Struthio camelus: one gene and its partners. The protein of the gene in region 4 interacts with the protein of the main gene of each other region in a pairwise test. Links are inferred from orthologs where the notes say so. Each region holds a gene or a part of one and is shown on either strand. Other genes may lie near its edges.

Region 1 (7,144 bases), on a different chromosome or scaffold from region 4:
GCAATTTCAGGAAGAAGAAGCGAGCAATTGTTATGATGGTGACAGTGGTGTTTCTCTTTGCAGTCTGCTGGGCCCCTTTCCATGTGATTCATATGATGATAGAATACAGTGAGTATCTGCCATGTGTCATGCAATAAAGTCTTTTTTAGGTTTTTTTGCAATAATGGAACCACAGATTGTGAAATGCTAGTGCTGCTGCAGCATTCAGCTATAATGTACCTTCTGCTAGCAAAGGTTAACGTTGTGCTTATAAATCCTGGATCACTGTCTTGTAATAGAGATACATAATCAACAGCAGATGAATTACTCTGAAGTCTATGAGTGACAGACAGATCTACAGTGCTCACAGAAAACGTAAGTACATTTCAAAAACCTCTTATTAGCTGTAGTGTTTGAGAGCGTAATATATCTGAGAAATCCTTGTATCAGCCCCGTCTTCTCTTCCCTGCTGTAGCACTAAAGATCTGTGTCTTGCTATAAACTGTGCTAGACTTTGTGGAGGGGGTGGGGAGAGGGCACTGTGTCTCCCTCCTCCTGTGTAGGTGCAGTGATAGCAGGTGGGACTGTGCAGTTTGCCGTGTGTAGGAACACTGAATTATTCAGTACCAGTTGTGCTCTACTTGCCAAACGCAACAGTTAATCTCTTTTCTCTCTGTTGCGGAAAAGGGCATAGCAGATAAGTCAGTAGTGCTACAGCCAGTCAGCTGAAGCAAGTGGTGTTTGTGCCTGGGCAGAGCCAGAAATGCTTAAGCTGTAACTTTCAAAAATTATCTGGATTGCCCCCTATTGAGATTGCCCTGAACTGTTCTGTGTAACACTTCACTCTCTTTCCACTGTTAATTTCAGGGATTGTTTCCACTGCTACAAGGCCTTGTTTAACTTGCCATATAAACCCTTGTGCAGTGTCTTCCAAAGCTGCTTAGCCAAGTATTTGAATTCAAGAAATTCAGAGAATTCTGTGATATCAAGTAATTAAAATGTGAGCTATCACCAGGAAGATGCATTTTTACTCTATGAACTCGTCTGTATCAGCACAAAGAAAGAAGCTGCATATGGTCAGTGAAAAGACGGGGATTAGTGTTATCGTGGTAGAGTACTTGAAAATTTCTCATGAATGTGAGACGCAGAGTCAGAGCCTACACTCAGCAGACTGGAAGCTTTCTGTCACTTGGCCATTGGACAAGTTGTTTATTTGTTCATTTGTTTTTTTGCTCACGAGTTGTGTCCTTCAGACTACACTGTTCTTCCCTACATATATACAAAAGCAGGGCTATGTGGTAGGTCTTGATCTTTGCTGGCTAGTGAAATCCTATTGCTAAAATTACCAAGAAAGCACCTTGCTGGAGGTTACTAGACAAAAGCTTCTAATGCCAGATTGGGTGTAAATGGGCTTAGTAATGGGTATTTATACCATTCTATACCTACAGCATATTTCCTTTTTCATTTCCAGGTGACTTTGAAAAGGAGTATGATGATGTGACAGTCAAAATGATCTTTGCTATTGTCCAAATTATAGGATTTTTCAATTCTATTTGCAACCCTATTGTGTATGCTTTTATGAATGAAAACTTCAAGAAAAATTTTTTGTCTGCCATCTGCTTCTGCGTTGTCAAAGAAAACACATCACCAGCCAGGCAACTCGGGAACTTGGGGATTACTATGAGGCAGCAAAAGGCAAGTGCTTCTCTAAGAGATCCCACTGACTCAGATGAGGCCAGGAGGGAGGCATTCAGCGACGGCAACATAGAAGTCAAGTTCTGTGATCAGCCAGCTTCAAAAAGGAATTTGAAAAGGCACCTTACCTTATTCAGCTCTGACCTTACTGTGCATTCTGCGTTAAGAAGTGGACAGTAACATCACAAAGATTTTTAGAATGGAAAAAGCACTCCTTGTATTTGATAACTTTAAACAAACCATTTTAAATATTTTTTTCTACATTGTGTGCAAGGAGGGGAAAAATATTCTGTGGATTATGATAATGTCTGAATAATGGTTGAGAAACTAATTACTTTATAGATGAGGAATAAAAGTTTGGAAAACAGTATTACTGCATGATTTCCAGAAAAATATTTTTCTTCCTGAGGTAACATAGGACTTTTTTGCCCCCTGCTCTAGGTCAACCAAACAACTGCCGCTTGCTTTGTTTACTTTTTGTAAACCATGTTGAACCATACACAGTTGAAAGTAGATACACAGTTGCCAGAAGATATAAACTATGGAAAATATGCATGCTTCCTTTGGACAGCTTGGGAATCTCACCTGGGTCTGACATTGTGAGATCTACTATCTGCACGCCGAGGACAGAGAAACTTCAGATCTGAGTTTAAGAAAAATACAAACTGAGATGCAGTTCTATTTTGCAAAGTATATGAAGGAGCTAGCCAGAATTTGACTTTGAAGAGATGAAGATGTTTACATTGCATGTTTGCTCAGATTTTCTAAGCAGAAAGCATATTTGAAATTAATGTGTGCATAATTAATGTGCTATTTTTACAGGTTAATTCTCTGGGTACAAATACAAATGCAAGTGTACTGCCCTGTAAACAGCATTGTTCCTGCTGAAAAACGTAGAAGTTGAGAGTGCTATACAAATCGAGTGTCTGCAGATGCTAGAGGTGTGTTCTGTAGAGTAAGAAATGAATTTTACCTGAGGTTGTGTTTTAGATACATGGCTTATGGGTTAAATTAGTATTGTTGCCTTGTTCTGGAGGAATATAAGGACTAGCCCCAGAGCCTGATGGACTCGACAGACAACTTTCAATTTAGGACATGGTGTTTTGATCGGGCCCTTTGCTGCTGTCAAGCACAGATTTTTTTTTTCTTTTTTTTTTCCCCTCTGTTGTCTCTCCCTCACCTTCGAAGTAGATAAATCATTGTCTAAAAACAGGGCCAGTGTTCTATTATTTTTAGGCTTTCCAGCAAATTACAAGGCTGAAATCATATGAATTCTGAAAATTGTCAGCGAGCCAAACTGAAACTGTCAAAGATCCTTACAAATATAGGCCTGAGGAAAAAATGTGATCTAGAATGTTATATTGTGATCTGATCGTACAAATGGGGCTCTGAAATAATTTGAGATTCCAGCTGAGATTAGGCTGGATCCTTTAAGAACACGTTGTGATCGTTGGTGCTCTTTTCTGTCATCCCTTATTTCACCTCAGGGACCTTGATGCTCCCTTGGCAGTAACTTTTGAGATGCTTTCACATTGTCACTTCCAAAACTGTAAATGAAAATCTAGTTTGTTATGCTTGCATAAATTAGAAGTAATCTGGTCCTTCTGTAATGTTCATAAATTTCCATTGCATTAGGTATTCTGATGCTGATTTGTGATATATTCTTTATTTTAAATATATATTATTATTTATACTTTATCTCATATACTCTGACACAATGACAGGTTAAGATTCCTGACTTGTCTTGACAGCCAGAAATTGAGAGCACTTTAGTATATGTATTAGATAAAAACACCAATTTCAAAGAGGTATGTTTGGGTAAAATGTCATGAGTGAAATCAGGTTCTGCCTCAGACACTCAGGCAAACGTGCCTCTTTGCATTACCTTGATACTGCTGGTAAGCAACAGCAACAGTATTTGCCTGTGATTATAACTGTGGCTTCCTTCAGGGTCCAGCTCTTCGTTTCAGTCTTTCATCTTTCCCGAAAGAGGTCATCTAGTAAAATTTCTGCCATGTAGATTAGAGACTCAAACTGGCTTATTATCATCCTTTTCCTCAGTTGATGCAAAGTTTTCAGGCTCCTGATGAGAAGTATGTGTTTTAACAGATTCTGTAACTGAAAATCACTTTATTATGTTAAGCTCTTTATTTTTTTATTTGTACTGGTGATTTCAGTGACGGGTTTGAACAGCAAAGGTGACAGTTACTTTGTAAAACTTATGGGTGTTCTATGTCTTTGGGTTTTTTGTTTGTTTCTTCTGTTGTCTCATAAAATGTAACGTCAACAAGTGATTATTGTAGTATTTTTCATTAAAACTCCATTTTGATATTTATGGTGCTGTTTTAGACTGGAAGTGCATTCTATAAACGTCAATATTTCAGTATATTTTTATTTTAAAGATCAGCTTATTTGCACCTTTTTTTTTTTTTTTAGTGATTAAGTTTCAGTTCTGTTTCAGGTACCAGCTTCTACTGTCATCCTTACAGATGTGCTGTAGAGGACTTTTTACAGAAGAAGGTAATAGAGATCAAAAGTTCCAATATCTTGGTAGGAGAGAATTGGTAAGTGTTTCAGCAAAGGCAGAGTGATTAGATTTAGATTAAATATAAGCCAAACTACTTCAGACAATTGTCTTACATCTTAATAAGCTATTATCTTCAGTACATTTTTGACACAGTAGTTCTCTCAAAGCCAGAAAATCTTGTGAGAAATTCCAGCTGCAAGGAATAGAAGAACCTTTATTGACTTAAGCAGAATTTAGATTTTTGCCTATATGTGCATTTGTGTAGGTTTGTGTTTGGGGGAGTGTGTGTTTTATCAAAGCCTCAGCTTTGATTTAACTAACAAAACAACCTGTTGTATTGAATCAGGCCAATTTTCTGTCCAGACTGGTAGTCTGTCTCTTGCAGTGTCTCATGTGTTTCCAAGTGTTTGGCTGTTACTGAGTACTTCAAATCAGTGAAAGCTAACACTGCTATGGAAGGAACAGCCCTGCTCTCCTCCCCAGCTTGCCTGCTTCCTCCTCTCTTACACTGGTAGAATTGCATGATGAAGCAGATCAGAAGACTTTCTGGGTAAAGGCTAACCTGTGAACAGAAAAGATTAATTTTAACCAATCTATTTTCCCTAAGCTGAGAGTGTTTAATAAAACTATTGTGTTTTTTGAAAAAATGCTTCCCCCAAAATGTTTTTTTCTGATCTGCATTAGCTGCAGATCACTTAAATCATGAAGCAGTCTAAAGGACTGTAATTTCTTTGTGGTCCAAATTGAAGAGAAACTTTTCATATTCTCCGCTGTATAAGGTGCCTTACGGCTTATCAGCTTTAAAGCTACAATGAGATAATACCAGGAACTGGCATGTAAATGAAGATACAAGTCTGAAAGAACACATTCAGCTGAACAGAGACTCTAGAAATATGAGTGGATTGGGAAAAAGCATAGGACATGTGGTATTGCTATGGCTGATTCAGTTGCATTCAGACTGTATTGACATCATGAAGAACTGTGGGTAGAAGGAAATTAACCCTTCCAGTGACTGTGTCTGTAACAGGGTAACTGTTTAAAAAATTCTCTCCAAGAGAGGGAGGGTAAATATAATGTGAAATTACTTCCCAGCAGAAGCAACTCTTTTGCTCTTAACTTTTCTTTTTTGGGGGGAGTGGGAGGGAACAACGCAACATTAATTTCAGTGGCCATCAGATGGCTTTATTTGTGGGTATGTTTTTAACCTATAGAATTATGTTCTGGGCTGTAATACTTTGACAAATAGACAGGGAACTATGCTTTTATTTAAGACGCTTGATTCTATTATGGGCTAACACAGTGCTGTGCAGGCATAAAAAGTTTGAATCTGAATATAACGAACACCTGAATAGAGAGTTTGTAGTCCCTCGTAGCATTAGCAAGTTCTTCGTAAGACATTTGTGCTACTGAAAGAGGGGGGAACGTCTAGGTACGGATTAGATGTCCTTTTAAAGTTTCACGGAAGAGGAACTGAACGTGGTGCTTGCTTGTGTATTGTTTGGATGTGTAGTTAGCACTTGTGTGGAATAACAAACAAATTAAGTGCATAGTACATGCGCAGGAGAATGTGAGATCTATTTTAGAGGGGCTGATTAAATGTAGATGAAGGAGAGCCATAGCTTGAATTCTTTTTATTCGGGTTGCTAGATATCTGGACTCCACCATGCGTTGTTCGGTCACTAGTAGGCAAAGTTGTGTTTGTCAGCTATCAGGTAATTCTAACAGAGGAATCTGAGGACTGGATCGGGTGTTGAGCTGAGTTGTTTTTGGCTGGGCAAAGCTGTGTGAGTCTCATCCCTGAAGCAGACTCTGATATGCTAGGTTTCTGGCATGGAGCAAGAAACACTGTCTGGGATACTCGGTGAGCCAGCACTACTTAGAGACAGTGACAACTGCAGATCCTGGAAGAAGCAGCCAACAGCTGTTACCTCAAGTACAGCTTGTGGAGAATAGAAGGAAGGACAATATACTGTTTATACTTGTAGCTAGTCTTATTAGTATCTTTTTAAAATTGTTTACCTGATGCTTTACAAGCCGGTGGAGAGGTGTATTCCTTTTCTGGAAGACTTTGCAGTATGTGGACCTAATTCTACAAAGATATGCATGGAACCTTTTTCATACCTGCTAGCTTCTTTGGAACTGTACACCCATACAATGGTTCATCTCCAGGGCAATAGTTCAGGTAAAGGAAATCATAAAAAGCTGATGGGGAGGATTTATGTAACGCTATTTGGGAAGGAGGATCAAGTTGGCAGTAAGGCAGGGATTACTTATTTTTCAGCAGGATACCTCATGTAGTTAAGATGATGAAGGCAAAGAAAACCAAGTCCTCCAGTTTATTATTCCTTCTGGGTTTGCTCAAAGTTTAGTCAGATAAGTTTTGAATAGAGAAGGCTGTTTAATATTAAACTGTTGTATTGAATTCTGGTATTGGAGCTGCATTTAAAAATGGAGTAGGGGGCAGTAGGGTTTGAGGCATATGGGAGAAGAGCAAGAAGGAGAGGGCCTTTTAAGGGTTTCAGTTTCCTAGGGACCCACCCTGATGATGTGTAGAATCATGAGTTAGTTCTTAGTTGACTTCATCAAGATAATATTGTGGCTTTCTTCTGGTTGCTTTCTTTTGGGCAGAGCCACAGTTTTACGTTTAATACTTAAGTATAAAAAGAAATATTATCAGGTTTTGAATAACAGCTGATTCAATGCTTTGAACTTCATGAGTATCAGCTTCTTTGTTTAACAACAACAACAACAACCCCCCCCCCACAGTTTAGTACTTACCTTCCATTAAAGAGGGTGTTGCATCCTGAGGGCAGAGTCTGCACACTTGGAGATATGGATTATATAAGTCATGGCTGTACATCTTAACATATACTTTAATTAAGACAAAACAAAACATCCCAATTAGTATATTGGCTGTTAGGTTCTATTTGTGCTAAGTACCTA
Region 2 (7,126 bases), on a different chromosome or scaffold from region 4:
TGGCCGCACTGAGCGTTCCTGTGCTTTATGACAGCACCTGGCCTTATGCTTGTCTCTTCTCATGCCTGTATCTCAGGCAGTTTTAGTTACAGAACCATTGACCAGCAAAGAGTGCAGGAAGATAGAGCTGCCAGAGCCACATGTGCATCCATCAGTCTATTGGCTTCTATTTGGAAATTTAAGCCTATAATCAGCCTTATTGAGAAGGGCTCCATTCATATGCCTCATTAGTCATCCTGCTATTATCCTTTGTAAGTACCAGCAGGCTTAGGATGCTGCACATTTCCCCTGCTTAAAAAAAAAGTAAAAAAAAAAAAATTCTCCACAGTTACAAGGATTGGAATTCATGGGTACTGATGACATTACCTGAGGACTGACTGATATCTTTGTTATAGGAGGAAAGGAGGCATATTGTAGTTTAGAACAGGCATGGAGAGTTAATTGTCAAGTCGGCAAAACTGGAAATAGGCTCAGAAAAGAAAACACAAGGGAAAATATGTGTGCAAGTTTCCCAAATACAAGCCCTTCATGTCATAGCTGGGACAATCCCTGTGGACCGTCTTATAGAAGAGATACATTGTGTGATCACTAGAAAACCATGTTTCGTTTGTCTGCCTTGAATTTTATGAAGAATTTATGCAAGATGATGTCTAGCAATTCCTGATCTAAGACTAACCATAATGAAACACAAGTGCTTTTGTGCTTTGGTTTATTTCTACTGTCTGTGCTTTCTACTATGATATAAGTTAATCATTTAGGTGAGACGTTAGAGCCCACAGTTCTGCTTAGATCAATCTGACTATAAATCTCTCCATTCCCATGGTAGATATGTTTTGCTTTTTTATATGTAGTGACAAATTACCGACAAGTTAAAGAGAACTAAATGGATGCAAGATGCAGAACACAGTACTCCAGTAACGCTGTCACCTTCATGATGGAACAGCTCATCCTGGAGGTCATCACTAAGCACATGGAGGACAAGAAGGTGATCAGGAGTAGTCAGCATGGATTGACGAAAGGGAAATCATGCTTGACCCATCTGATAGCCTTCTCTGATGGCATGACTGGCTGGGGAGATGAGGGCAGAGCAGTGGATGTTGTCTCCCTGGACTTCAGCAAGGCTTTGGACACTGTCTCCCGTCACATCCTCGTAGGTAAGCTGAGGAAGTGTGGGTTAGATGAGTGGACGGTGAGGTGGATTGAGAACTGGCTGGATGGCCGAGCTCAGAGGGTTGTGGTCAGTGGCGCAGAGTCAAGTTGGAGGCCTGTAGCTAGCAGTGTCCCCCGGGGGTCAGTGCTGGGTCCAGTCTTGTTCAACTTATTCATCAGTGACCTGGAGGAAGGGACAGAGTGCACCCTCAGCGAGTTTGCTGAGGATACTAAACTGGGGGGAGTGGCTGACCCACCAGAAGGCTGTGCTGCCATTGAGAGGGACCTGGACAGGCTGGAGAGCTGGGCGGAGAGGAACCTCCTGAAGCTGCACAAAGGCAAGCGCAGGCTCCTGCGCCTGGGGAGGAATAACCCCATGCCCCAGTACAGGTTGGGGGCTGACCTGCTGGCAAGCAGCTCTGCCGAGAAGGACCTGGGAGTGCTGGTGGACAACAAGTTGATCGTGAGGCAGCAGTGTGGCCTTGTGGCCAAGAAGGCCAATGGTCTCCTGGGGAGCACGAGGCAGAGTGTTGCCAGGAGGTGGAGGGAGGTGATCCCGCCCCTCTCCTCAGCCCTGGGGAGGCCTCCCCTGGAGTGCTGTGTCCAATTCTGGGCTCCCCAGCTCAAGAGAGACATGGCACTACTGGAGAGAGTGCAGCGGAGGGCTACAAAGAGGATGAGGGGACTGGAGCATCTCTCCTATGAGGCCAGGCTGAGGGAGCTGGGCCTGTTTAGCCCGGGGAAGTGAAGACTGAGGGGAGGATCTCATCAAGGTGTACAAGTATGTGAAGGGAGGGTGTCAAGAGGATGGGGCCAGTCTCTTCTCCGTGGTGCCCAGTGACAGGACAAGAGGCCACGGGCAGAAACTGAAGCACAGGCAGTTCCATCTGAACCTGAGGAAAAACTTCTTGACTGTGAGGGTGACAGAGCCCTGGCACAGGTTGCCCAGAGAGGTGGTGGAGTCTCCTTCCCTGGGGATATTCAAAACCTGCCTGGACGCGATCCTGTGCAATGTGCTCTAGAGGACCCTGCTTGAGCAGGGAGGTTGGACTAGATGATCTCCAGAGGTCCCTTCCAGCCTTGGCCGTTCTGTGATTCTGTGATTTCCAGCACATTGCAAAAACGAGCAACGCTGAAAGTGAAGCTGAGTATGCAGGCAGCAAAAGAGTGAAGTGTTCCTCCTAGAAACTGCTGGCCATGCCATAAAGGTAACACTAAACTCTCCCTGACAGAGGTTTTGCTGGGTTTTGCCATGCTGTACAGAGCTGTTGCATATGTGCTGCGCAGAGGATGAGCTGTTTTGTGTTCTTTGAGGTGACCACATGGCAACAGACTCAGAGCCTGCTGTGCTAAGGACCGGTGAGTGGGGACGCAGGATCTGCGGCCAGCTCAGCTACTGCCAAGCAGTAAGTTTTGTCTGAGTACTCTGTTAGTAGATATGAATAATTTCCATGTATGTTAATATGAGCATATACTTTGGAAAAGCAATATGCTCGTACTTGGACATGGTCTCTATTGGGCTCTCATCTCTTTAGGCTTGAGAATAGGCTCAGAAGGTGCCTGAAAATCCCCAAGAAAGACACAGGAATGCAAGAAAGGCAAAGGGGAAACAAGACGAGCATATTTCCAATGCAGAATTTGTGAAAGGTCTATGTTTTCACAGGAAAACAAGTCGGTTTACAGGTTTTAATCAAAGCATAAAAATGTAGAGGTATGTGAAATAAGTGCTAGACACCAAACAGTACTAGACATTCTTTTCTGCATATCACTGTTCTCTTTAATAAAGATATATGGTTAATTAAAGGCTTACTTGTCTGTAACTGAAAAGAATGGGGTCATGAAAAAAAAAATTCTTATCCCTGTTCAGAAATGGATCAAGTTGTTCAAACTAAAGTGCAACATAAAAATTACAGTCACACGTTGATTTTAGGGGACAACAGACTAACCAGGAGATTGTAAATATAAAGGAAAATTTTCTGAGCTTGTTTTTGAGCTCATCATAGATAACGCAGAATTTAGATAATTGAGGGCTGACTATAGAGTTTCCATATACTTTTATATAACTTGTGGCATCCTTACCAAGCAGTTCATTTTTCATCTGTTAATCGAGAAGTACCTTCTCTATGTTGTTAGGAGTGTCCCCCAGTGGCACAGTATTACAGTTTTTTTCCTCCTGGCAGAATTTCTTGTGCCAATGACATTTGAGCTTGTTAAAATTTAAGGAGCAGGCCCTTGTTTTGCGCCACGTACACTATATATTCATCTTTCCTAATAAACTATGGACTGCATAAGCACTATGCTACTCTGACTTTGTGCTTGTTAATGCTGATACATCTATGCCACTGTCAAGCTGGAGCAACACAGAATTTGTGGTCTGCTGTTTTTTTTAAACCTTTGCTAGTAAAGGGTTACAGCAGAAGCGAGAGCTGATTATGAGATTCAGAAAACTGCATGCAGTGACTTGGAGGCTAAGAGAAGCAGGAAAAATAGGATCTTATGTATTAGAACTTCTTTTTCAGAAAAAAATAGAATAATCCTCCTGCTTTTAAGATATCTTCAAAATAACATTATGATATTTTATTCCAAAGAAACATTTATCCACCAGATAGTCAGTTGCTTTTTGCAGAGAGACAACATAACACTTTTGCAGCATTTTATGCATTAATAAAGCTTATGCCATTTTTTAAACATCATCAATTTTAATAGCACTTGACTGAAAAACTGAGTGATGATGAAACAGCACATATAATTTTTTTTTTGCACTTTCCTGTCTTCATCTTGTGAGAACCAAACATGTTTATTTTACTGGCAACATTAGGGGAATCATATGGTTTCAAGGAAAGCTTTTGAGATTGTTTGTAAGTTTTTGCTCCTCTGCGTGTCCGCTTCCTCCCAGCTGGGGGCTGGCTGTTGTATGGAAAGGCCAAACACGTCACGGAAAAGCCCTGTCTCTGATCAGATGGGCTTAATATAAACCAGGTTTGCTGAGAGCGAATTAAAGAGGCAGCCCATAAGTAGAAGAGGATTTGCTTTGGCAGACCAGTTCAGTGTATCACACTCCACTGAGAGAGAAGGGCAGGGAGAGCAAAGGACCTGACTGCGGGGAAGAGCCCGTCAAAAGTAAGGCAGTGTTGGCTGAAATGCATTGGTCCAAATGCAGTATTTTACTATAAGTAAATGACAGACCAAATAGCTAATGCTAAATGCAGTTTGTGGTATGAAAAATAATTTGAAGTGGGAATGCTATGTGCAGTAGTGAGTTATAAGACTTTCTCTTGTTTGGATTTGTTTAATGAAGGATGATAATTTGTTAAGGGAAAAAATATAAAATATTTATGATTTGGACTATTTATTGATTGACTGTTAACTGAAGATAGTGATTTAGTGATTGTTCATTGTTTGACTGGATTAGAGGTGGCTTTTCTCATGCATTGTTTCAGAGGGGAAACTACAAGAAAAAAATGGATTTTAAAATTAAAGTACTGGAAAAACTTCACTTTGTTTGTGAAGCAGTCTTCGTTTGGTGCGAGGTTTCTAGTTACGTATGCTTTTTCCTGGCAAAGTTACTATGACTAGACTATGCATATGATCTAATCTTGCCACAAAGTACTGTGCGTCACAGTGAAAATATCACATAAGTTGGAATAAGTTTAGTTAGAGTGTGCTCTTTCTGCCTATTTGTTCTATGACCTGCTGCACATTTATTCTAAGAAGTTTTCATAAAGTTTTATGTGGATAGGAAAAACAATTTGTATATGTCTTTTTGATGTGTTGCTGCAATTATTTTCATTCACTAGTTCTTATTCAAAATATTCAAAATTTGTTATTGAAAGTGGTCTGATGCGTTGTGCAGACAGATATGCTGTTTATTAATATAGAGAAGAGAGCTAAGAAACATCAGACATATGCTAAAATGTAAAATATCTAAATAACTGTCACTTTGGAAACTGGAATATATCAAAGGATCTTTCCTAAAAATGGTAGCTGTTAGCCTGTGAAAATGACATCACTGCACTCTGCTTCCAACCAAGGCAAAATAGAGTTTGCAAAGTAAAATGTAATTAAGAGCCATGCATAGATAAGGTGAGCTAACTAGCTGTGTAAGATGAACAAACGTTCTTAGATAATGTGAATGAGCAGCTTTTGTGGTAAATTAATTTATTGACTTACTATCTGTAACTTTATGAGCTTTTACTCTCAGTGATACCTTCTTTAGAGGTCAGATTCAGTATCTCCTCAGAAAAGCCACTGGACTTGGTTGCATCCTCACTTTTACCAGCCAAAATGCTACTCTGTGCGATAGCTATTTTTTATTTGTCCTGCTATAGCTGAGATCAAAATCTATTCAAAATACATTATAACAAGACTTGCTTGCATCATTTGTTTCCAGCATGAGGGCTGTCTAGCACGTTTTACTTTCCCAAAAGATTAAACTTTTAACTGAGGCAATGGGAGCGATATTGCAAGCAAAATAGGATTTATTTTGTGACTGTGTTTTGGTGTGCACGGCTGACATTGCTGGAGGAACCAGCCTGTCTATGCCAGGAGAATGTAGGGAATGGGGCGCAGCCGTGGGGTGCGCCCGTGCTCACCCTTTACACCCACTGGAGTGGAACTGGAGGTGACTGCGGCTGGTCCCTCTGCCCACAGTTGCGCATGAAGGGTGGGGACTGGCACCTACAGGGTCCCATCAGCTGCCTCACTGAGGATGCAGCTGTATGCAGGCTCCCAGGCATGACAGCGCTGGCAGATGTTGCCCCTTTGCTCTCCTCCTGGGACATAGCAATGCTGCAGTATCTCCAGGGCTGCGCTGCACCTAGTACAGCAGTGAGCCTGCAACAGCTAAGCAAAGCACAAAGCTGGGATTTAGCATGTGACAGTGGTATTGTCCCTAGGATGAAAGCTGCAGCTCTGACTCACTAACTAGAAATTTCTTTGTGTACCAGCAGCAACAAAGAAGTGCAGAAAGCCTCTTTTTTTGTTGTTGTTGTATAGTCCAGCTCTTCTGTAGGGTTCTACATACTGTCCTGAGGTTGGGAAGAGGGTGTTAACGCATTTCTAATGCTTTGTGGGTGATGTTTGTCGTTTCCACGTTTCTCACCAGGGGTAAAAAATGACCCTCAACAATGTTACCATGCGTCGCACCAACAACAGTGGCTTGCAGCAGCAGCAGCGATGGAGCATCCCTGCTGATGGAAAGCACCCGCTGGTCCAGAAGGACTCCAATGAATACAATGCACAGAAACGATACACCATCAGTCCTGACGATTACTACAGAAGGAGCTGGTCCTCGGAGTCGTCTGACTCCGTCATCTCCTCTGAATCCAGCAGCAATTGCTACCGGGTGGTGCTGATCGGGGAACACGGTGTAGGCAAGTCGTCGCTGGCCAACATCTTTGCAGGGGTACATGACAGCATTGACAGCGACTGTGAGGTGCTAGGAGGTAGGTCATGATGGCCTGGGGCGCTTGTTTACTTGAGGGCAGCCCTGTCAGTAGCAATGGCATTAAGGCACAGAAAATTAGCAAGACCATTTAACCTGAAACTGAGGTAACCAACACTTGGGTCTGATCATCAAAATTGATTCCAACACATCTATCTCTCTTAAGAAAACAAGCAAAAAAAATTAGATACGAGGACTAAGGTCCTCACTAATGAGGATCTAAAGCCTCTGCAAGGCAGCAATGTAGCTTCTCATGCTATTTCATTTTAAAATACCTGTTGGAAGCTGCTATGTTCCTGCCTGTGCCTGTGTTATAGGGAAAGGCTGGTTCAGCTCTCACACATATGTCCAAAATATGTCACCACTGGCTCCACAGGGTCAATTCCTACTTTCTGTGCGGGACAGAAAAAAAAAAAAAAAGAAGATGCCCTTGTTTTATTAGAATGTAATGCTTAAAAATAATATATAATGAAAAATACCCCCTCCCCATCCAGTTCTTTGATCACCTCCAAAATATTTGCCGTTAGAAGTCGT
Region 3 (7,379 bases), on a different chromosome or scaffold from region 4:
AGCTGTAAAGACAGCGTGTGTTGCAGCTAGTGTAAGCACGTTATCCTTTGCATCTTCTCTATTAATTTCCCTGTAGCCTCAAAACCAAGCTAAGCACTTGGGCATTAGTGGATTTGAAGCAGGAAGACCACAGGGCCCCAAAAGGAGATGCGAGAGCAGGCTGGAGGGAGCATACCCACAAGCACAGCTCACTTCTTGCAAGCAGCCTCCTCCTTACCTCGAGACGCATCCGAGGCTGCCTTGACGTATTCCTCCTGTCGAGTCAGGAAGGAAGGACGATTCGTTAGCAGGGCAGTCGATTAGCAGGATATATCCACGTTACCGATGCACACCGTGACCTCTCTATTCCCACTTACTAATCAGACGCCACGAGAAACGAAAAGTAACACGCTTTTTCAGGAACACGTAAGCGATCTGAAATCCCATGGCAGGTCTTCAGGGAGCTGAGGTGGTTTTGCTACAGATTCTAATAACTTTTCTTTTTGCGCTAAGATCCATGCCTGCTTCTCTTATGCTGGAAAAGGCAAGCGGGAGAGAAGCCTCTGCACCCAAACCATGGAGTCTCCTCTGCCCCCAGCAGCATCTGAGGGGGACACATCCTGCGCAGCGTGAGCTTTGCTCCTGCTGAGACGCGACTTGGAAAAGCACCTATTTTCTCTTGCTATTCACACAGTGCCGCCACCGCCTGGAAATCTCCAGGGAGCGCCTGCACGAGGCCGGCTGGCCGTGGGGATGCCAGGCTCGCACAGCAAAGGGAGGAACAGATTTGAGCCCATGCTCCGTAAACCATTGCCTGTGCTCCAGCAACCCCCGCGACCTCCGGCTGCTGGTCCCCATCTCTCAGGGTTTTATTAACAGCACAGCTGATCGCTGCCGAGCATCCTCGGCTGCCGCCCTGCTCCTGCATCCCGGCTCTCGCTCCCCTCCTGCCCCAGGCCAGCACCACCCGGGCAAGCCGGGAGCCCCTCTCTCACCTTTTTCAGGAAACACGCCGCCCTGTTCCTGTACAGCACCGCCTGCAGCGCCTTGTCCTTGTTGAGCTTTATGGCCTGAGTGTAGCTTTGAATGGCTTTCTCATAATCGCTGGCCTGAAAATATTTATTGCCCTCCTCTTTCAGCTGGATGGGATCCTCCATCTGGAGAGGAGAGGGGGGGAAAAAAGATGCAAATTTTAGCCTGCCTGGGAATTTAAAAAAATATATATATCAGTTTGTGCCCCTTCCGTTTGCAGCCTCCCGTACGACAGGGTCGCTGGCGTACTCCCTCGGGTGAGTCTGGCCATCAAGCCAAGCTGCGCTCTGATCCCGACATTTAACTAACACGCACTTCAATAAAAGCAGGTTACTGGACTGAAGCCTTCAAAAACACCAAGGCCCAAATTGCTCCTCCAGGCTGTGGCTTCCCAAAAGTTTTTCCTGGCGTTGCAGATCCTCCAGGGTCAATTAATAAAAGAAAAAAGTTTCCGAAGTCAGCAGGCGCCGCGGACGGTCTGGACAGCTGGGAAAGAGCCCATCTCCCTCACCTCCCGCTCCAAGTTTGGGCAGGACCCGGCAGCTCCTGGGGCCCGTCAGCGTCGCCTGTCACCGCAGCCTGTCCCCACCTCTCCCCCTGCTATATAGCACCCCAGGGGGGGCTGCACGCCAGGGCACCCGCGACCGGCCCGGCTCCGGGGGCACCTGCCCGCCCCAGCGAAGCGTCTTTCCGCAGCCAGCAGGAAACCCGTCCCCGCCGCCGAACCAAACCTCAGCGCTGCCGTACCTGCGGAGCAGCGCCGGGCAGGGGGTGCAGGAAGAGGAGGGTCCTGCCAAAAAAAAAAAAAAAAAAAAAAAAAAAAAACAGCCAGGAGAGTTGACCCCCAGCCCAGTGCTCAGACCCTTTTCTATTTAAGGAAGCGGGAGACAGCTGAGCTGCCAGAGCAAATGGCCCCAGGCCGGCAGCTGCAGCAGCGCCCAGCACCTTCCAGAAGGCGCTGGGAAAGAAAGTTGATTCGCACGCAGTGCTGCCTCCTCCTCTCCGTTTCGCAGCCCTCTGGGCGCAGTCCAGCACAAAGGTCTGGCCCAGAGCGCATTGGCCCATTGCTGCAACGAGAGCCTCAGGTCTCAGTTTGAGCGACGCAGGCCAGGAGAGAGAACTGCTGAACTCCTCCAGATCAGAGCTGAGCCTTTCAAACCTACATATTTTTCAGGCCACGGAGCATCGGGAATTTTGCTTTGCAGCCTGATCTCCTCCAACACGCAGGCCACGAGCTCCTAAGTGCGACCGCCAGCGTCCCAGCTACAGAACGGATGGGGGAACTGGCAACAGGACTGGGGAAACTATTGACCGAGGGAAGCAGGGGCAGGTTGGTAACTGCTCTGTTGCTCCAATGGAGCAGAGCTGAGCTATGCCAGGGGATGTGCTCCGTTCTAGGGCCCTGCCAAGAAAAAAATTAGGTTACGTTTAGTGCTGGTGTTCTGTGTCACAGCTTATGGGTCTTACGCAGAAAGAATTGGCACAAGACTGCTTTGTCCAGCAGTCCTCGAGCTACATCAGCTCACGTCTAGCTCCTTCAACGTCTACCAACTAGCGCCACTCTGTCCCTGTTAGCTGTACCGGAGGGGGTCGCAACGAGGTTTGAAGGTCTCTGCATCACGTCCCCTTGCGGAGAAGTTTCAGGCCCTCACCTTCTGAGAGCAGAGCAGCGCAGCGATGGATCCACGGGGCCTGCAGAGACACCACCTCTTGGAGGGCGGAAGAAGCCACTTCCGCCACGCATCGAGTTGGCACCACAGCTTTTCCAGGGCCTGCTTTGACTAACACGTTGGAAGCACCTCCTCGTATTGCTTTAGGTGTGGGAGAAGGGTCAGCTTTCTTCATTCCAGTAATTCCTGTGGCATATAGCAAGTTATCCAGGATATCTTAAGTTATCCCAGATAAAGGCTTCATTTTCACCAGCAGCAATACTGGAGGTACTTCAAACACATTAAGTTACAAAATAAAGTTTTGTCTGATGCTACCTATGCTCGAGACAGAGCGGCCGCGGTCTGCAGCTCCCCAGGTTGTGCCGTTGCCGAAGCGGACGACAGCAGTTGCACAGCACCGACGTGCAGCCACAAACCCTGGGAGCCCTCTGGAGGCCTCACCCGGGAAAGCAAAAAAGCATTTTTTCCTGGGGAAATTCATCGCCGGGGGACAAGGAGGGCAGCAGCCAGCTGTGTGGAGGAGCTGTTGCTGCTCAGGCAGCAGCCTGGAGCGACCCTGCCAGGCCCATCGGCGCGCGAGCGGCTCCTGCCACGTTCCGGCCTCGGATCCCACCTCACCTCGCGGCTTCGAGCTGTGTTCTGATAGGAGGTTTTGCAGAAGAAAAGGCAGGACATTCAGTGTTTAAGTTGCCCTCCCAAAACCACCAAAATGAACTTCAGCATCTCTAGAGAAGCAGTTGGGCCACGGGAGTAGCTGTGCACCGTACCAGGCACGCCGGTATCACACTTCGGTTCAATGGGGCAGTTAACTGAAGACCAGCTCCTTGGTGCAGAGCTGCATTTGATCCTTCCTGGAGTTACCCCCAAAGCCCTAATGCAAGTTTAGGGTAGCTGAACAGGACACAGAGCACAGACCCTTCTCTGCAAGAGCCCCTGGAGGTTAAGAGCCAAAGTTTCACCCCTGTGTGCATACCTGTTCTTCCAGCAAGCACTGGGACACCACAGCAGCTCTGCTCCTGCGAGAGGCCTTCAGCCTGCCCCACCACACTCACAGCTCTTGGCACAGCACCTGACAGAGGTCCTCCCTGCCTGCTCGGGCAGACAGGAGCTCAGATCACAGCCAGAGGCAGCTCCAGAAGTGAGCTTTACTTTTAAGAGAGGAATAAGCTCTGCCCAGAAGCACAAAGCACTCTACAAGGCAAGACTACAGTAGCCTCACTTCTGCCTCCTACCTTTTAAACCAAACTCCCTTTTAAAACTAACTTTTAAACATGCTTGCCCCAATCTCTAATACACACTCCTCCAACATTACCCCCACCAGTAGCATTTACCCCCCTCCCCCAAAAACACCCAGCTCTTGTGGGGGTGGGTGGTGTAGGGCCTGGGAGCCAGGGCGTCGCTGTCACCTGTGCTAGCAGCCCTTTAGGGCCAGCTGGAGCCTCCCCTGCTGGGGCTGGTGGGGTCAGGGAGGTGGAGGTGGAGGTATTTCTGCTTTCCTTCGCTGCTCGGGTCACCCTGCTTTTCAAGCAGGAGGGGTTTTCAAGTCGGGCTCCGCGTTTTGAAGCGGGCTGGCGCCCGGCTGAGCGCAGCCGCTAGGCGGGGGTGTGAGCGGGCCGCTGCCGCGCGGCTCCGCGGGAAGCAGGAAGGGCCGCGGGGGCGGAGCGGGGCCGGAGCGGGGGCGGCCGCGGGGGCGGGGCGGAGCGGGGCCGGCCGGGGCCATGGCGCTGCTGCGGGCCGGGCTCTGCCCCGGCCTCGGCGCGGAGACGATCCGGCTCCTCGGGGCGGGCGGCGTCCGGACGGGTGAGCGGCCGCGCCGGGCGCGGCTCTTAAAAGGCGTTTGAGGGTTTTGCGTGTGTTTTTTCCCTCGTAGCTGCCAGCGCTCTGGGCCAGGCCCCGCTGCCGGTGGGCTCCAGGTGGGCTCTTTGCTGGCTCTGATAAAGGATGAAGCGCTTTATCCTTGTTAAAGGGAGCCTTGGGTCGAGAGCCTGTGAGTGCCCAAGCCACGGATGCTATAATCCTCCTCTTCCCCGTGAGAACTGCCTTTTACTATTTTTTAATGCCTAATGTACATGTTTCAATTAAGAAAGAAATCTTAAAGTGGCTCCTGGGGCAGAAATGGGCTAGTAGTTCTTCCCTAATTTCTGTGACTTTTGCCTTTCTCTGCATGTCCTGAGCTGGCACTTTGAGTCAGTCGTTAGCCCCTTGAGACAGGCTCTGCTGCACTAGCAGAACTGCCCTGTCTTGGCTGACTCTAGCTATCAAATGGTCCTGGGCAGCTCTTGAGCACAACTAGGGAGTATTTTTTATTAGCCTCTCCCTAATTCATTTTGCAATGAACTTAATGGATGGGGCTCATGTGATGCCAGTGCCACCTCAGAGGAAAAACCCCATTGTCCCACTTCGCGGGGCATCCTGCTCACCTGGTCAGAGCATCGGCCGAGGCACAGGAATGTTTTAGCTGTCAGTGCCTAAAGGTAGATTTTGTCCAAGCATGTGGTCATCCTGCAGTCTCAGGGTGATATTTCCTGCAGGAGCTGATCAGCTTTTTGGTGTTGATGGTCTGTTATGGTTTGGCCTCCAACTTCTTGTTCTTCATGTTATTTGCAGTGGTGGACTTTGTATCGTCAGACCTGGAGGACATTGCTCAGAAGTGTTCCCTGTCTTACAAGGTAAAGGGAGACTTGTAAGTCCTGTTACGTTAACCTGGGAGCTCAGAGCTGTTCAACTCAGTGCTTGGTCAGACTTGTCCACAGGGACCTTCTGATTCTCCTGTGTCATTGGTTTCTCTGTTGTGCTTGGCTCTGTGTTAGTCAGCCTTGTGCTGAGCGCTCAGTATTTTACTACTGTGCTTAAGAGCCCAAGCTGTGAATGGGGACTGTGCTATCAGCACCCTATATCGCTGGGTGGGTTGCTGGAGCGTGTGGGACCCACAGTTGCCCAGGGCAATGGAGACCGTTTGTTTTGTGTTGTCCCTGCACTGCCCTAGCCCAAGACTTCCTCAACTGCCTTTTCAGATGTCTCTCTGCCCACCAGGCTCTGGTTGCTGTGAGGCGCGTGCTCCTGGCCCAGTTCTCGGCCTTCCCTGCCAATGGAGCAGACCTCTATGAGGAGCTCAAGAGCTCCACGGCCATCTTGTCCACTGGGATTGCCAGGTGGGTACATTGCCCAGGGTGCAAACAGGTCTGGCTGTGGGAAACTCTCTGTGGAAAGACAGTCCAGCCTGGGCTTTGGGTTTCAGCCAGGTGGTGCTTCAAGCACTGTGCAGGGTGAGATGGGACGAGGGTGGAACGGACCTGGGGTGCTATGGCCAGCGCTCCTTCGTGGAGCTGCTGCAGCTCTCCTGCCTATGGTCTCAGCCTCTCCTCCACCTTGAAGCCCTCTCTGCGGTGCTAGGATGAGAACGAAGACATTTATTCTTCATATCCTGCCCAAACCATGGCTGCAAACTCAAGTCAGTCTGTGCCCCTTGAGGGAATGGCATTGCTGTTGTCCTCCTGAGAGCCTGTACCTCTCCTGGAAAGTGATTAGCATGTCTGACTTCTAGGCTAGATGACATGCTCCCTTCACCCTTTCCTTAGCGCTCTAGAGAGGAGGATTATAGACTTGTGAGGAGGGTTGAGTGATGATGGTCCAAATTATCTAGATCAGGCACAGAAATAAGTTGTGCTCTTCTTCTGTGACTTATTTCTCCCTTTCTCCAGTTGCCTCACCGAGTGGTTGCAGTGACTGTGCAGAGAAATCTGGGGTGTTCACAACTTGAGAGCTCTCAGACCACAGTTCTTCTCCTCTTCAGGACTGTCCTCTTATACATGACACTGCAGGCCTTCTGCTGCTCTCCAGAATGTGGAGAGACCCAGGGGAAGGGGGGAAGGAGCAGAGTCTGGGCCACTCATCTGCAGTTGGAAAGGGACCTCTGTAGGGATGAATAACTGGGGATTGCTGCTTCCCAATGCCCTTGCCCTTCTGCCTGAAGGTGTGTAAATAGTTCCACCCTTGTGTTCAACCCTTAGTTTGGACAAGCTGCTGGACTCTGGGCTGTACACAGGGGAAGTGACAGAGCTCATGGGAGCGCCTGGCAGTGGGAAGACACAGGTGAGCAGGACAGAGGAGGGCAGTGGACAGGTATGATGAAAATGATGCTACAGTGCATGAGGAAGGTGACTTCTCCCTGGACCCATGCTGCAATCTATATTTAAGGACACAACCTGGACTCACCCCATCCTACCTTTGGTTAATTGGATGGTTTCTAATGAGAACACAAGGAGGAGGGGGGAAAAAAGCTATTGTCAGCTTTTGGCAAAACCCATCTGTTCCCACCTTCTCCCTATGCTGGTCTCCTACATTGCAGGCTTTCAGGCACAGGAAGGAGGGACCTGATCCAAACCTGGGGTGTGAGGCTGGTGTGACCTTTTGAACAGAGGAAGTCTTTATTCTTTCCAGCTTGGTAGCTCCTGTGGTGAAGGACCCTGCTGCTGCAGGTGGCTGCCTTGGCTGTGAGGCCGTCGGAGCAATTTTGCCACTGGCAATCGTTGGCCCTTTCAGCTTGCATGGGGTGCAGATAAGAGGAAAGCACTGGGAAAACAGGCTGTGGGCAGGCACTGGCTTTGTCTCCTCCATCAGCCTTCAGCCTTTCCCAGAGCACAGGGCAGCCCTGGCAGGAGGCTTGAAACCAGACTTCTGCTGGTTCTGGCTGCTGTG
Region 4 (6,830 bases):
TGAGGGCCGTGGTGGGAGGACGAATGGGATCCTGCTGGAGAAGAGGAGCCTTTTTCTTGCTGTGCTGCCTCCCAACTGCCCAGGGATGGAGAGCTGGGGGCGGTCCTGGCTCCCTGCAGGCTGCCGCTGGCGGAGGTGCTCCTGGTGCAGGGCAGATGCTTTTCTGTGTCCTAGACAGATGTTTTTGCAAATTTTGGTCACTTGATCTTGGTGCTGAGTGCTGAGAGCGTGGAGTGGGCCATGGCTTGGGTGAGGGCCCAGGGGCAGTAACCTGTAGCCCTGGGGCTCTGGGCTTGGAGCATTTTATTAACGTGCTGCTAAACTTGTTGGGCCAAAATTCTGGGCCATCGTCGTGGACCCCACGAGAGGCCGCATGGTGGGACTGCGGAGACCTCCTCCTGTCTCGGATAGGGATTTCAGGAGTGCTGTGCTCGGTCCTGACTGGGATGGGGTCAGCAAGAGGGAGGTTGTAGAGGGATGCTGAGGGATACTGTGGATGGCCCTTGGCCTGGGGTGCCTGGAGCTGGATGGTCTCTGCTGGGAGCCTTGTGAAGCCCTGACAAAGGTGGGAGCTGCCACCCCCATGGTGGTGGCGCCTGAGCAGTGAGGATGGAAATGTGGCAGGTTGAAGGCAGGGTTTGCTTCCTCTTCTGCTGGCCAGCAGGTGGGATGTGCAGCTTGCCAGCTCTGCCTGCTCGACTACTGCCCTTTGCCCCAGGACGCCCTGGTCTACCCTGTCCTGTCTCTCCACTGTGGGCATCACCAGCAGTAAAACCCCTGGGGGACCCCCCCCGGGCTTGGCTGGAGAGGGGTGCCAGCATTCTGGGCCAGCGGCTTTGGGCAGCCCTGGAGCCAGGCGTGCGCTGTGGTCTCCCCTCCTCTTGGCCCTGCTTTCACCCAGGGCTTTGAATGTGGCAGCAGTGGTCCAGAGACTTTTCAAGTCCATCCCCAGGGACCCTCTTTCAAAGCGTTTAGTGGTGAACACTGTGACCTGGCTGGTCCTTGCCGTGGCAGGAAGAGTCCACGGTCGGATCTTGGTCCAATCCTTTTGTTTTCCTTTATAGTTTTATTAAAGCAGAAATCTGAGTGCTGTTCCTATGCTGCTGTCCTTTGCTGCCTGTGATCACGTCACCCTTTGGCTGGGGGGACCCTGGTCAGGGAGGCGATGTCCTTGAGGGGCCCTTGCCGGGCTGGGCATGTCTGCCCCACAGGGAGTTTCCAGGGCTCAGGCTCAACTGAAATCTGCCTGTGGGCCTCAACAGCACATTTCTGCCCCCGTTCAAATGGGGACTGGTCTGCGTTTCCTGGGTTTGGAGCCTAGGGACCAGGTTGGTGCCATAAACTCCTGGGTGGAGGAGGACAAACAGAGGGACAGGGTTATGGGGATGTCTTGACAAGAGATGCTACTGACTGGGACGCATGCCAGAACATCCCACCCTAAAGATAAGCAGCGAAAGGAGAGAGGCCATCGATGGGGCTGGGACCTCCCTTGGGTCTGTTCTGTCCAAGGTCCCTCACCAGCCTCTTCCACCCTCCTTGGAGGCAGCACGATGGGCTCTGGCGGGGAGGCCTGGCCATGCCTGTCCCCTGGACTTTGTCCAGGAGAAGTCCCTGCTTTCTCCCCTCCACCCCCTCTCTCACCCAGGGCAGCCAAGGGGGCAGCGGCTGGCCCGGATGCCCGGGGAGGTTAGCGCAGGCAGGGAGGAGGGTGCTGGCTGGGGCTTGCCCACAGCTCTCCCCGTGGTCACAGCCCATCACCGCCGTGTGTTTAGCCCGGCACGTGAGTTATTATCTGCCTCCGCACGGGGCATAGTTTTAACCTGAGCCATAATGAGGGGCTGGGGCGGGCAGGCGGTACACACCCAGCTGCTGTTTTCTGGGGTGCACCAGCTCCCTGGGGCTGTTAAAGCACCCTTGGGTGCTGTTGGCGCAGGCATCGGGAGCCTGAGGAGGGAGTTTGGCTAGGCCCCCAGGACAGGCCAGGGGTGCAAGAAGCAATGGAGGAGGGTCTCGGTTGTGGAGCAGATCCTGGCCAAATGGAGGTAAGGTGGGGGGCAGCGGGCTGTTGGGGAGGGAGCTGGGGCAGAGCTTGGCGGTGTTATGGTGTCTCCTGTGCATAAGGCGCTGTACAAGCACCACAGCCAGGCCCTGGGCAGGTCTGGTGGCATCACTGCCCTGGTGGCATTTCTCCCCAGTGCCAGGGTGATTCCAGTGAGGATTTGTGTGGAGGCAGGCAGGTGCCAGGCTGGGGTTCGGGGCATCCACGCTCAGCCCAGGTGCACCCATCCAGCTCGCTGGCCTCAGTTTCCCCTTGATCCAGCCAAAGGACGATGCTGTTGGGGGGGGGGGGGGGGCTGCAAGGTTAAAGGACTAGGAGTGGGGCAGACCTCACAGGACTATGTTCTGCGCAGGGTGCATCCTTGCACCCTCCGAGCTGGGGCAGCAGGGCACCCTCAGGACCACCGTCTCCCTCCTTATTTACCCCTCAGGGCTGGGAAGGGGGCGGTGGAGCCGAGCCCTGGGGGCAGGGGGGTCCCAAGCAATGGGACCACTGGCCTTGGGAGGTCCCAGCCCTCCTCCCTCCCAGATCCGTCAGGGACCCCCTGGGTGGGCGATGTGTCCCCGGGCGCCTGCCGGTTGCACCTGCTCAAGGGGTGCCCGCCGCTGAATCCAGCCCCGCGGCTTTCCAAACTGCTGCTGTACTGATTTTCTTTCTCCGTTGTCTCCCAGTTTGGGAGCTCTCAAAGAGCGGGTGGGAATAGCTGCAAAATCCCACCCACGGTGGGGGGCAAAACAGAGACACGGGGCAGAGCCCGGCCACCGTTCCCCTGGACAAGGTGCTGGGGGCACCCCAAACACCTCTGGGGGACGACTCCTTCAGGGCGGCTTTGGGGGGTTTCCGGGGGTTTCGGAGGGGCTCGCCCAGGCTCTGGGGAGCCTCTGGGGAGCCTGGCTGGCCGAACGCGGGGTCGGCCCCGGGGGGGGAGCTGCCGGCGTGAGTCCCCTCTCGGGGCTGGGGCCGGGCTGAGCGGGGCGCCCCAGCCGTGGGGCACCAACAGAGGGCCACAGCCCCCGGCACTGCTCCCCACCCCACTGACCCCCACCCCGCAGCCCCCATGCAGGGCCCCCCACTGCATGGCACCCCAGCCCCGTAGGCCCCATACAGCACCCCCGCCCCACCGTGTGGCACCCCCCCCCCCCATAGCCCTCATATAGCACCCCTGCCCCATAGCCCCATGCAGAGCCCCCCAATGCACAGCACCCCCGCCCCATAACCCCCACACAGCACCCCCATCCCCATGGCCCCATGCATGACCCCTCACTGCACAGCACCCCCGCCCCATAGCCCCATGCAGGGCCCCCCAATGCACCCCCGTCCCATAACCCCCACACAGCACCCCCGCCCCATAGCCCCATGCAGGGCCCCCCAATGCACCCCCGCCCCATAGCCCCATGCAGAGCCCCCCAATGCACCCCCGCCCCATAACCCCCACACAGCACCCCCGCCCCATAGCCCCATGCAGAGCCCCCCAATGCACCCCCGCCCCATAACCCTGTGCAGGGCCCCCCACTGCACGGCCCGCCCCCAGCCCCATACAGCACCCCCGCCCCGCCGCGCGGCACCCCGAGCCCCACGGCCCCCCCCCCCCCGGCCCCCGCCGCGCAGGGCGCTCCCCGGCCCGGCCCGGCGCTGCTGCCGGCGGCGTCGCTGCCCCGCGCCCCGTCCGTAGGGCGCCCCCCTGCCGGGCTCCCGCGCCGAGCCGGGCCGGGCCGGGCCGGGCCGGGCCAGGGGGGCCGGGGGCGGCGGGCGGGGCCTGGCGCGGGCCGGGCCGGGCCGGCGCGGAGCGGAGCGGCGGCGCGGGGCGAGCGTGAGTGCGGGCTGGGCCGGGCCGGGGGGCGCCGCGGAGCGGGGCGGGGGCCGGGGGGGCTCTGGGGGGCCCCGCGGGGGGCGGCGGGGGTGGCAGAGGCCTAGGGGTCCTGGGGGGGTACTTTGGGGCTGTTGTGGGGCAGTTGGGGGGAGCTATGGGGCAGCAGGGGCCCAGGTGCTCTGTGGGGCACTTGGGGGGGGCTGTGGGGCAGCCGGGGCCTAGGGGTCCTGGGGGGGCCTCTTGGGGGTGTTATGGGGCACTTTAGGGGCCCTGTAGGGCAGCAGAGGCCCAGGAACTCTGAGGGACACTTTGGGGGTCCTGTGGGGCGCTTTGGGGGGGCTGTGGGGCAGCAAGGGCTTAGGGGTCCTGGGGGGGCCTCTTGGGGGTGTTATGGGACAGCAGAGACCCCAGTGCTCTATGGGGCACTTTGGGGCTGTTGTGGGGCACTTTAGGGGCCCTGTGGGGCAGCAGAGGCCCAGGTGCTCTATGGGGCACTTTGGGGGTTTTGTGGGGCACCTTGGGGGGGGCATGGGGCAGCAGAGGCCTGGAGGTCCTGTGGGAGCACTTTGGGGAGGTGTTGCGGGATGGCAGAGGCCTAGATGCTCTATGGGGCTCTTTGGGGCTGTTGTGGGGACACTTTGCAGGTCCTGTGGGGCAACTGGGGGGAACTATGGGGTGGCAGAGGCCCAGGAGCTCTGTGGGGCACTCTGGGGGTGTTATAGAGCAGCAGAGACCCCAGTGCTCTATGGGGCACTTTGGGGGGGTGTCATGTGGGGCTCACTGGGGGGTGCGGGGCACTGAGGGGCAGGCAGGCAGCAGTGTGGGGCAGCTGTGAGTTGCTGTGGGTCGAGGGGACGGAGCTGTGGGGCAGGCGCGGGGGGGGGGGTGTGGGGTCGGTTGGGGGGCACTGCGAGGGGCGTGTGGGGTCTGAGCCCCCTCAGAAAGGTGCGGGGGCCCCGAAATCTCTGGTGGCCCGAGGTGGGAATCCCGCGGCAAGGCCGGGAGCGCGGCGGGGATGAGCTTCCCCGTGCCTGGCGTTTGGGAGCCGGAGGATCCTGCTTCCTTGTGCTCCCACCTGAGTTCGCCGGCAGTGACGCCGGCCCAGTTACTAACTGGTTTTACTGGGGAGCTCAGAGCTGCCTGCCGGCCCGCTCGGCGCCGCCGGGGCGTTTCGCAGGCCGCGCTCGCCGCCGGCAGGCCTGGCGAGTCCCCAGCTGAAAGTTTCCGTCCTCCAGAGGCCCCGGCCTGCCGGACCCTCCCTGGAGGCGGATCGGAGCTTGCGGGAGGGTGAAGAAGGATCCCTTCTCCGCAGCCGCAGCTCCCGGGATTCACGGCGGGGGATGCGCGGTGGGGTGGCACCCCCAGGGCTCCCTGTCCCAGGCTGGGAGCTGATCTGCAGCCGGAGAGAAAAGGAGCCGTCGGGCTCTAGTGGTGGCCTTGTCCCCTTGGGGGCTGGCAGGGTGCTGGGATCCAGCTGCAGGACAGGGCAGGGGGTTATGTTTAGCAAGGAGGGGTCCGGCAAAGAGTGGGAGGTGAGGCGGTGTGAGGTGCCCACGGGCTGGCTCCCCATCGCCGTCCCCTTGCCGTGTCCCCTACTGAGTGCAGGGAAAGGAGCCGGAGGGGCTGGTGAGGCAGCGCAGGGGCTGTGCAGGAGTTTCCCAAGCGGGATGTCGCCCACAGATCACCATGTTTGATAATCCCATTCTTGGGGGGTGGGGGGGTGCCAGGACCAGCATACTAGACCCTGGCATCTTTGGCCATCCGCTGTGCCGCGCTGGCGCTGCCCGTCCCAGACCTGCCGGCCGGAGAGCTTTGGCAGGGCTGGAAATGGTGCTGGGGGGCCTGGCAGCTCCTGAGCAGCAAGGAGCCCCGGCTGCAGGGCAGGGCCGGGGTCAGCCCTTCGCCTGGCTCTGCTGGCGGGGACGCTGGGCCCGGGATGACCGAGCCCAGCTGGAGGCCCTGGGCACAGCGGCCTACGCACGCCCCGCTGTTAGCCCACGGCTGAGCGCGCAGGGCTGTGCCAGTCAGCTGGCATGGCAAGCTGGTTTCTGTCCTCTGCCATCCAGGAGAAGGCGGGCAGGTGCTGATGCATGGCCCCAGTGCCCTCCCTGCTTTCCCAGCCCTGTGGCGGGGGTACGGTACCACCGGTTTGGGTGGAGATGCTGGGTAGGGTGCAGATGGGCAGGGCTCTGCCTGGCACCTCTGCAGGGCTTGGTAGCAAGCATGTCAATTTGGGGGAGTGGGTGCAGGACTGGTCCTTGGAAGCTGCAGGGGGTGCAGTGAGCCCCCCCATCTCCCTTCGGGCCCTGATGTGGGGTGATTTGGGAGTGGGTGCTTTTTGCACCCTGACCCCCTCCTCTTTCTTTTTCCTGCTGCAGGGGGTGACTGAGCTGTGTTCGCGGAGCAGGGACCTGAGCGGGCCAGACGAATGGGCAGCGACTGGCGAGGTGAGCGGAAGGCCGTCACCCGCACCCCCGTGGCGGCAGCGCTGGGGCATCGGGCTGGGTACAGTGGAAAGTCGCCGTGCCCGGGGAAGGCACGTGCCCGTGGTGGTGGAGGGGAGGGGAGGGTGCTGGCAGCCCGGCCCCTCCTGCTCTGCCCTCCCCGCCTGCTTGCCCCCTCGGGCGCTGGCAGGCGGATTGATTTCAGGTGACAGCTCAGCAGGCGAGACCATGCGGGCAGCAACCCCCCTTCCTCGTGCCCTGTGCCAGCTGCAGCCATGTGCGAGATGCGATGAGGCAGCGGGGGACGGATCCGGCCCGTCGGCTGGCTCATGTCACGCGGGCGTATGGTGTGGGCCGGGGAGGGGGGGCACGCACCGAACGCGTGCGCCCAGGGCATGGGCCGCAGGGCAGCAACAGGGGCACTCGCAGAGCCCCCAGACTGGAGAGGGGCAGGCAGCGTGCTGTGGGATTGGGAAAGAGCTTGGCAACTGCTTTATGCCCTGCTCGCTCGCGCGCT

What was found.
Region 1: the proteins of LZTS2 (region 4) and TNIP3 interact in binary tests that used the Homo sapiens proteins (3 or more experiments, as listed by UniProt). The two-hybrid records come from large-scale screens. The link is inferred for Struthio camelus from reciprocal best matches to the Homo sapiens genes LZTS2 and TNIP3.
Region 2: the proteins of LZTS2 (region 4) and GEM interact in binary tests that used the Homo sapiens proteins (3 or more experiments, as listed by UniProt). The two-hybrid records come from large-scale screens. The link is inferred for Struthio camelus from reciprocal best matches to the Homo sapiens genes LZTS2 and GEM.
Region 3: the proteins of LZTS2 (region 4) and RAD51D interact in binary tests that used the Homo sapiens proteins (3 or more experiments, as listed by UniProt). The two-hybrid records come from large-scale screens. The link is inferred for Struthio camelus from reciprocal best matches to the Homo sapiens genes LZTS2 and RAD51D.

The regions. Positions count from the first base shown.
Region 1 is NC_090945.1:19,789,713-19,796,856, forward strand, and holds the start of TNIP3 (TNFAIP3-interacting protein 3), read left to right. Parts: upstream 1-4,135; 5' UTR 4,136-4,238; intron 4,239-7,144. Other genes in the region: QRFPR (pyroglutamylated RF-amide peptide receptor), read left to right, coding at 11-108, 1,451-1,854. UniProt on the Homo sapiens protein: Binds to zinc finger protein TNFAIP3 and inhibits NF-kappa-B activation induced by tumor necrosis factor, Toll-like receptor 4 (TLR4), interleukin-1 and 12-O-tetradecanoylphorbol-13-acetate.
Region 2 is NC_090943.1:149,190,821-149,197,946, forward strand, and holds the start of GEM (GTP-binding protein GEM), read left to right. Parts: upstream 1-4,121; 5' UTR 4,122-4,269; intron 4,270-6,253; 5' UTR 6,254-6,262; coding exon 6,263-6,593; intron 6,594-7,126. UniProt on the Homo sapiens protein: Could be a regulatory protein, possibly participating in receptor-mediated signal transduction at the plasma membrane. Has guanine nucleotide-binding activity but undetectable intrinsic GTPase activity.
Region 3 is NC_090957.1:14,879,293-14,886,671, forward strand, and holds the start of RAD51D (DNA repair protein RAD51 homolog 4), read left to right. Parts: upstream 1-4,362; 5' UTR 4,363-4,399; coding exon 4,400-4,481; intron 4,482-5,288; coding exon 5,289-5,350; intron 5,351-5,714; coding exon 5,715-5,833; intron 5,834-6,691; coding exon 6,692-6,773; intron 6,774-7,379. Other genes in the region: UNC45B (protein unc-45 homolog B), read right to left, coding at 218-254, 975-1,136, 1,759-1,801, 2,664-2,755. UniProt on the Homo sapiens protein: Involved in the homologous recombination repair (HRR) pathway of double-stranded DNA breaks arising during DNA replication or induced by DNA-damaging agents. Bind to single-stranded DNA (ssDNA) and has DNA-dependent ATPase activity.
Region 4 is NC_090948.1:15,894,947-15,901,776, forward strand, and holds the start of LZTS2 (leucine zipper putative tumor suppressor 2), read left to right. Parts: upstream 1-3,813; 5' UTR 3,814-3,869; intron 3,870-6,247; 5' UTR 6,248-6,316; intron 6,317-6,830. UniProt on the Homo sapiens protein: Negative regulator of katanin-mediated microtubule severing and release from the centrosome. Required for central spindle formation and the completion of cytokinesis.